2 linked regions of the Xenopus tropicalis genome follow. Each later gene encodes a partner of the first gene's protein in a complex. Links are inferred from orthologs where the notes say so. Each region holds a gene or a part of one and is shown on either strand. Other genes may lie near its edges. The genes, in order: ppih and lsm4.

Region 1 (3,826 bases):
GCTAGATCTTTTGTTCCAGTGCATCGGAGGAAGTCTTGATTCTTCCTCTGACTGGGGCTAAACATGACTGAGCAAGCTTAGTTTTATCCCATTGTAAACAAACTTCCTTGCCAGAAACTTAACCCTAGAGGAATTACAATGGTTATTTTTTCTGTTATAATCTACGTATATTCAGCCAAAGCATTGCTGTTAAACTACAGCTCCCAGCATCCACAAACAGCCAGGTCACACAAAAAACTGTTGATTAGCAACAAGCGGGTGGCTGAAGTTGGAACATCGCTGCTACAGAACTAGTACTAGAAATTGTGCTATCTTTTGCACGTTATCAAGACAGGTTATTTCAATACTAAAGTATTTTAATTTTTAGTTACTTACATTGGACAAGTGAACCTTTTGGCTTTATTGTTGTTATTCAAGCAGTCAAAATACATTTTTACTTTGGTAAAAACAAGAAAACAAGCAGGCAATTAACAAGTTCTCTCTATATTAAAAGGGTGTGGCCCTGGTATTTCCAGACACACCCAGCAATAAAGCATTCCAAAGTTATGAGATAATGGCACTATACTATACTCTTTCAGTTAAATAACACTTATAACACTTTCAATTTCTCCCAACAAAAACAAATTACCTCAATTTTTCTCATCACAAGAAGTCCATCGATTACTTTACCTGTAAATAAAATAGTCATCTTGATTGTTGTGGATGAAGCAAAAATATTTTTCTATCTATATAAATACATCGGGCAGGTTTTAAAATCCCATAGTGGTGAGGAGTGCATTGGCTCATGCGGTCTTCACCCCAATGGCTTGCATCCTATAAATGTGATCACTTTAATATCGCCCATCTCAAGGTGGGAATATTGGGAACTTGCTTATCAATATGTCCCCAAGGGAGGCTATTTATCATAGTTTGACAACTTATATTTTATATGTAATACAGGGCATATTACTATAGCCTGTCATGGTGTGGCCATCAAATTATTACTAGCCCAGAAAAGGATGCTACTATGAAACCTATTCCTAAGAAGAGTTGGAATGCTGAATTCAAAGTTGAATTTATATTTCAGATAGAGTTAAAAGAATAGTAACACCAAAAAATGAAAGTGTATTAAAGTAATTGTAATATAATGTAGTGTTACCCTGCAGTGGTAAAAGCTGCTTGTTTGCTTTAGAAAAATTAATATAGTTTATATAAGCAAAGCTGTGATATAGCCCAGGGGGGTAGTTTTTAAACTGAAATAAGACCATGGCTTAAGCCACATGGGGCTGATTCTCGGCCTATGGACAAACACAGGCTGAGAATCAGCCTCTACACTCCAATCAGCTTTTGGATGTGCCTGCAACCGGAGCCACTGCGTCAGCCCCTGTGCCGGTACATGGAGTGAATTTCGGTGCCGAAATGTACTGTTTGTATCTGTTATCTGCTGTAACCTGTGCCTTTTCTCCTTTTTAGGGCCGTGGCAGACAGGGAGATTAGTCGCCCGCGACAAATCTCCCCGTCTGCCACGGCCCTTATCCAGCTTAAATAGTTGCCCCCATGGCTACCCAACAGCTTATAGTAGAATTTCTGAAGCCAACACAATCTTTAGGTTGATTGTGGGCCTGCAGAAAAACGCAAAGCCCCTAAGCTGGCATCAGCCTTCTTTGTCTGCACCTGGAACCATTAAACTGAATTGGCCTGGTGCAGGCACAAATGGTGGATATCAGCAAAAAAACTCAAGAGTTTCCATTTCAAAGCTGATATCCACCGGTTGCACAGACAAGAAGGTGGCTGATGCCAGCGTAGGGTCCGATTCTCGGGCTGTGGAAAAATGCCGAGAATTAAACCCATGTGGCATAAGCCCTACCAGTGCAGGGCAACAGAACATTATTATATTTTAATTACTTTAAAACACTTGATTTTTTGGTGTCACTGTTCCTTTAACAATCAAATGAAGACAGTGTTACTGTATTCTTGCTAAAGTGTTACTCCACTGTTTTCAATGGACAGCAGCCCTATGCAACTTATGTCCCCAATATCCCCAGGCTACACAAGTTGTCTGGCCTAGACTTTTCACTTGCACTGTGCCTGAATGTGCAGATTGCCAAAAGGAGTGAAACAATCTGGACATACAATTTCATTTAGTAATGAGCCCCAAAGAAGCATAATGCTGAAAGGTAAGTGTAATTCATGGAGCAAAAATGTATTACTGTACTGAGCATCCATAAAGATACCCTCGGCACTGACACAAACTAATAGGGCAGACTTTCTGCTACAACTTTACTTTGGAAAATAACCAGCCATTGTTTTTGCTGGCTGTATCCTAAACTGCAGAACACTGGAATATCTTACAACATATCTGATCAAAAAGTCACATGTAGGATTGTCTCCCAGATGAACAAGCCTGGCAGGAGCAGCCTGAAATAACGAGCTACTTGGCTGCGAGCCTTGGATGTGTCCTAATGCTAGTGAAATATATTCTGTTAAAAACTCACCAAATACCACATGTTTTCCATCCAACCAATCGCACTTTGAGCATGTGATAAAAAACTGGCAGCCATTCGTCCCTGGGCCACTGTTAGCCTGTGGAGTACAACACAGTGTGTTTTATATTTAGTTTCTTGTATAGTTTGCAAACAAGAGAAACTGTGGACTTGCCAGTGATCTTCTTTTAGCTGTTTAATACAAAAGCCACTCTGTGGGGGTGTAATAAAAAAAAAAAAAAAAAAAAAAACAGCTTGGAAATATAAAGGTCAAGTGAATTATATCAGTGGGAATGGCATGCATGCAACCCTAGCTATAAATCTGTAGCAGGAGTACTTGTGCTTTGTAAGAGGCAAAACACACAGGAAGAGGGCTCTATTGACAATAAAGTTTATCCATGTTTTCTTACTTCTCATATGAGATGGGTATTCCCCCAAGAATATAGGGTATTCCCCCAAGAATATAGGGTATTCCTAGGTCTCTTGCAGAGGAACTCCCTGTGCTAAAATGTATCAGGCTGAGAGACTATGTGACTGCTAGAACAGAATTCTTTGTTATAAGGTGACCAGAATGCCAGTCATAAAATTCCCGTTTTGCTGCTTTTATAAAAGAAGGAGAGACAGGCAAATGTTTAGCATTTTTTGTTTAAGAGACACTTACATTGATTTTTTCATTATTATTTTTTAGAAACATTAATATCTGTTAACAGATTTTGCAGAAAGCGTTGCCAAAAGATTCTTCAAAATGAATGCAGCCCTCTCCTAGTTAAACAACAATAACTTGGAAAAGAGTGCCTCCATAACACTTGGGGCCAATTAACAGGGCAATAGTAACTGGGGCAATTAAAACTGAACTGACACAGCACAGAAATAGCTAGCTGGGTCAGTAGATGGAGCATGCCACACTTTAGTGAGCTAAATGGGCTGGACATGCCTTACAGTAGCATTGATACACAGAAGCTAAACCATGTCTGAAGTGCTTGGCTTGAAAAGAGTTAAAGAGTAAAACCACCCAAAAATGTTTATTTGCACAACAGAAGGTAATGTAACTATAAAAAAAAGTCCAATAACAACATTGTTTAATAGTTTTAGTTATTTGCAATTGAAAGCAGTATTCGATTATCCTTTTCTGTACCCTAGTTCTCACTCTTAAAACAATGCTTCTCCAGGTCTATTAATATGAACAACAGTATAAACTAATCACACATTTGTCTTCTGTTTTTAAACAATGCAAGTCCATTGAAAGCTTATTTGTGATCGACTGCAAATTTTTTTTCTCACTGTAGACTATTTACTTATTAATCAGTGCTTCATATATTACATCATGTACAAGAAAACAGATTTGTAATACATACCATGGATAA
Region 2 (4,281 bases), on another chromosome or scaffold:
ACTGTGTTTTAGATGGTCAATGCAACCATCTATTGTCTGTTCAGCATTAAGAGGCTTTCCGGCTCCATCCAGACACAGCAGAAAATAAAACTCCTGCCTTTGGAGTACACTACTGCGTTGCTTTTCTCTGTATTTTCTTTTTTAGACAATATATATCCATTTTTTTGCCATTTGAATAACAGCCTCATTAAATAAATAAGGAAAAATAAAACACTTCATTCCCACTGATTGTTTAGAGCAAGGCTGTCAGACTGAAAGCCAAAAGAACAAATGTGGAGCTTTTTTTAGGGCCCTCCACAAGGACAATATCTCCTTCAATTTGTTTCATTGTTTCATCTTTTTTTTTACCCTGCTGTTGCAGAGGGGCCTACGAGTGTAGGCAGTCCAGCGGAGCCATAACTAATGAGCAATTTCAATATATCTTGATAGAATAGGTCAATTTACCAGTGTTTTGGACCCAAGTGTGTGAGGCCTGTAGAAAATAACCCATTTACATAGGTTTCAAAACTCTGTACTTACTAAAGTCATTAAAGTGAGACCTTAGGATTAACTTTAACTCAGGCATATACAACTGGATTCTAATACAAGCTACACCTTGCCACAGATTGTTTCTTTTTTTAATTTTTTTTATGCAAAAAATGATATTCTAATGCTTGAAACAAAAACATATGTGGATGCTAAGAATCAAAAAGCTTTTTTGAAATCAAACTGCAAGGTAAAAATAAGGGGGGGATGAAAGGAATAATAATAATAATACGACCTGTAATAATAAAATAAAGCTTTACATTAAATCTGTTGTAGTTGCCAGGGTCAAGGATCCCAACAACTTGACAGTATTTGTATCTTCAGACTGAAAAAAGCCAAAAAGGAAGAGCCCCTGGCCAGGTCCAGCTATAACATGCCTAATGCCAATGCAACAGTTAACTTCCCCTTTGAAACAAGCCCACCAATAAGGAGCATTTAATTATTTATGATGCTACTCCAATTTCTGCCTATCTTGTTTATTACACACTTGCAATATAAGAGGTTTTAAGCAACATATTTATACTGTCAATTTTGCTATCTGTGGTGTGCTGGATGGCACATTATTAAAGATGCAGAACTTATTTTATTTCAATAATGATGTGTCCTTTTAAATAATATAATATATAATAAATAATACTATAATAATAATAATAATAAGCATCCTTGTTGACCTTAATTACATAAAAGCTATTACCATACAGTAGAATTTATGCCAAAATTTCACACTTCAATAGTAAGCATATGAAACAAAATTAAAACCAGTGTAGTGCTTATCTTATTATTATACTAACTACTGAACTTTCTAACCAAGTTTAATACAGATGCATGACTTTTTGCACAATTTTTTAATTTGGGACTTTGCATTCACTTATTATGTTTAAAATGTAATCTGTTTTTACCCAATAATGAACAATGCCCCATGATGTAAGTTAAAAAAGTAAGATTGCTAAGACCTTTCAAAAAGAAAATCTAAATGATATGCTGTGTCACTAACTCTTTATAAATGCATACTTTCAGAGCACATGATGGACATTGCCAAGGGAAAACTATACCCCCAAACAATGCAGGTCTCTAAAATAATATTTTACAAAAAGCAGATCATAGTTAAAGCACTGCTTCATCAAAATACACAATTTTCATAAAAATATACTTTTGTAGCAGTATGTGACCATGGATAATTCTAAGTTAAAAAAAAAGTCATTTTAATTACTAAGGGCCACCCCCTGTTATGAAATGATTCACAGTGCACACAAACACACATATATGTTAGGGTACATGAGCCAATTAATGGGGACAGTTCTGACTTTTACTCCCACATTTCTTCCTGTTACAGGTAGAGCTGCATTATTAAATAACAATTAGTAAGATTGAGAAAGAAAACCTAAGATGTATCTCACTGAAAGGTCCTGAAATACCATACAATAATTAAACACATTATTCAGTGAAAAACACAACCATTTATTGGCTCAGAATTTAAATACAAAATTCAAAAAACATAACATAAAACATACTATACCAAATGGAAGGTACATCCCATGCTACCTGGCACCCTTTCTCCTTCCTAACGCGTTTCGCACACTAAGTGCTTCATCAGAGGAATGCCCATGTCACTTCCCTTTTTATACCCAAAACTTTTAATTTGCACATTTTTCAGGGTTACCATTAAGGCCCTGTAACAAGCATATATCATACATTACTATATCAAAAGCTTTTTCGGGGTTACCATTAAAGCCCTGTAATAAGCACATACTATATCAAAGCTTCAAATATACATCTTACAGGGCCTCCCAAAGAAAAACCGCCCGCCCTGTACTAAGCACAAATTATACAAGTTAATCAAAAAAGTGAAATCTAAAACTTATAATTAAATGTGAAAAGATATGAATAATATCTTAATACACACTAGAGCTGCATTATTCCCTGACGTGATCTCTGAGGGAGCACACAGCCCATCACTAAATGGTGGCTCAATGTGGAAAAGGCCAATATTAACCAATATATATTCCAATTTGGTAACATTCTTTAATAGGTTCCTTTTTAGTAAATAATGTATCTGTTGGTTAAGTACTCAGTCAGGGGGTATAGTTTGCCTATAATATATGTAAAATATTTAATTCTCAGACCAGTATCCAAAAATCCCCCTTCACTGATTATATGAGCCAATCAATTATCTAAAGAAAACATGTTGCACAAGAGGTCCTTCCACCAGCTTCTCCCTAACCCAGACAAATAAAGCTGCAGAGCTCGCCCGCAACGGGACCCTGATAGAACTAAAAAAAACCCGAGACGATTCTGTGTAACAATGAGTTAACAGGACAGGCGGGAACATACATGCCGGCTAGGAGTGACAGAGAAACTAGTAAGACTAAATGGTTATAACATGCCCAAATTGTAAGCACACAAATCAAGTATATCGCCATTTCTAGCTATAAGAACAACGCAGGCGAATGTAGTCAAACCCCGTGTCCCACCCAGGTAACTCGCCATGTTTCGCTCTGTACCGCGCTCCCTCACGGTCACTTCCGCCCGTTGCTCAGACAACAAGCGCAGAGACTGTTGGGCAAAGGAAGCCTTTGGTGACACCTTCCTGTACCAATAGTATCGGGCTAGTCCTATCCACCAATGGTGGTGTCGAATAAACAGGCCATGTGATCATAAGGCGCTGCCATCGTGGTTAAGGGAAAGAGGAGTTCTGTAGTTTCTGCTTATAGGGAACTGACGTAGAAAAACAAACATTTATTTGGTGCAGAGGGGATTATATAGTATTCTAAAATTAGTATGACTAAGCGAACAAAGGGAAGTGTGGTTTCTGGTAGTTGTGGAAGGGTAGTCTGCTATTCATTATATCTAGTCACAGCGCGCTAAAGGACATGTCAACCCCCCAAAAATGTTTTGCCTAATAAAAGAAAACAATTCTAAGCAACTTTCCAATATCAATTTATTAAAGATTATTAGTGCTTTAAAAGTTATTTGTAAATGTAATGTAATGCTATAGAAAGCAGCATTTGCTGAACTCCTGGTTGTTACATTTTAAACAATGTTGCAAGTGCCAGGCTCCTCCAGCAAGTCAGGTCTGTAAAATCTGCTGGTGTTTGTTACATTGTTTCAAACACCAGACCCCTCAGGGTAGAGAATAAAAAGGACAAGCAGACACTGCTTTTAATAGCTGGTATATATATACAAATAACTCAAAAACCATTACAAATATGTAATGAATGTATATTGCAAAGTTGCTTAGAATTAAGTTTTCTTTTATTAGGAAAAAGATTATTTTTGGGTTTGACATATATTTGAAAAATATTAATCCTGTTTATTAAAATCACTTACTTGATGCCCTGGGAAAGTGCTCCTATTAGCTGAAAACTGCACTGGACCAGGGTATTTCTGAAGAAGCTCTTTTGGTGCAATCTTCTCTTCTGCCTTCATTTCTTTGGGCGCGTTAGGGCGAAAAAGCTCAGTTTTTCACTTTACTGCTTATATGCCTGCCTGGACTGGAACAAAGAAGTCAAACAATATGGTGAAGAGCAGCTTCTTTAGAAATACCCTAAGCCAGTGCAATTTTGTAGGGAACAGGAGGACCAGCCTGGGGTATCAGGCAAGCAATTAGATTTAATGTGGGTTGCTAATAATCTATGGAAAAAGAAATTCACATTCCAACTAGGGATGTCATCTTTTCATTTAGCTAAATCCGGAAGGTAGGCAGGGCGGGTGACATCAGGGGGGTTGTAGGTGATGTCGTAGAGTCGTTAGTGCTTT

Evidence for each region.
Region 2: ppih (region 1) and lsm4 share a complex: the UniProt entries of both Homo sapiens proteins name them as parts of the U4/U6-U5 tri-snRNP complex. The link is inferred for Xenopus tropicalis from reciprocal best matches to the Homo sapiens genes PPIH and LSM4.

The regions. Positions count from the first base shown.
Region 1 is NC_030683.2:94,747,855-94,751,680, forward strand, and holds part of ppih (peptidyl-prolyl cis-trans isomerase H), read right to left. Parts: coding exon 3,818-3,826; intron 2,563-3,817; coding exon 2,475-2,562; intron 670-2,474; coding exon 629-669; intron 1-628. UniProt on the Homo sapiens protein: PPIase that catalyzes the cis-trans isomerization of proline imidic peptide bonds in oligopeptides and may therefore assist protein folding. Participates in pre-mRNA splicing.
Region 2 is NC_030677.2:103,364,999-103,369,279, reverse strand, and holds the start of lsm4 (U6 snRNA-associated Sm-like protein LSm4), read right to left. Parts: upstream 3,039-4,281; 5' UTR 3,013-3,038; coding exon 3,010-3,012; exon of another isoform or gene 2,997-3,009; intron 1-2,996. UniProt on the Homo sapiens protein: Plays a role in pre-mRNA splicing as component of the U4/U6-U5 tri-snRNP complex that is involved in spliceosome assembly, and as component of the precatalytic spliceosome (spliceosome B complex).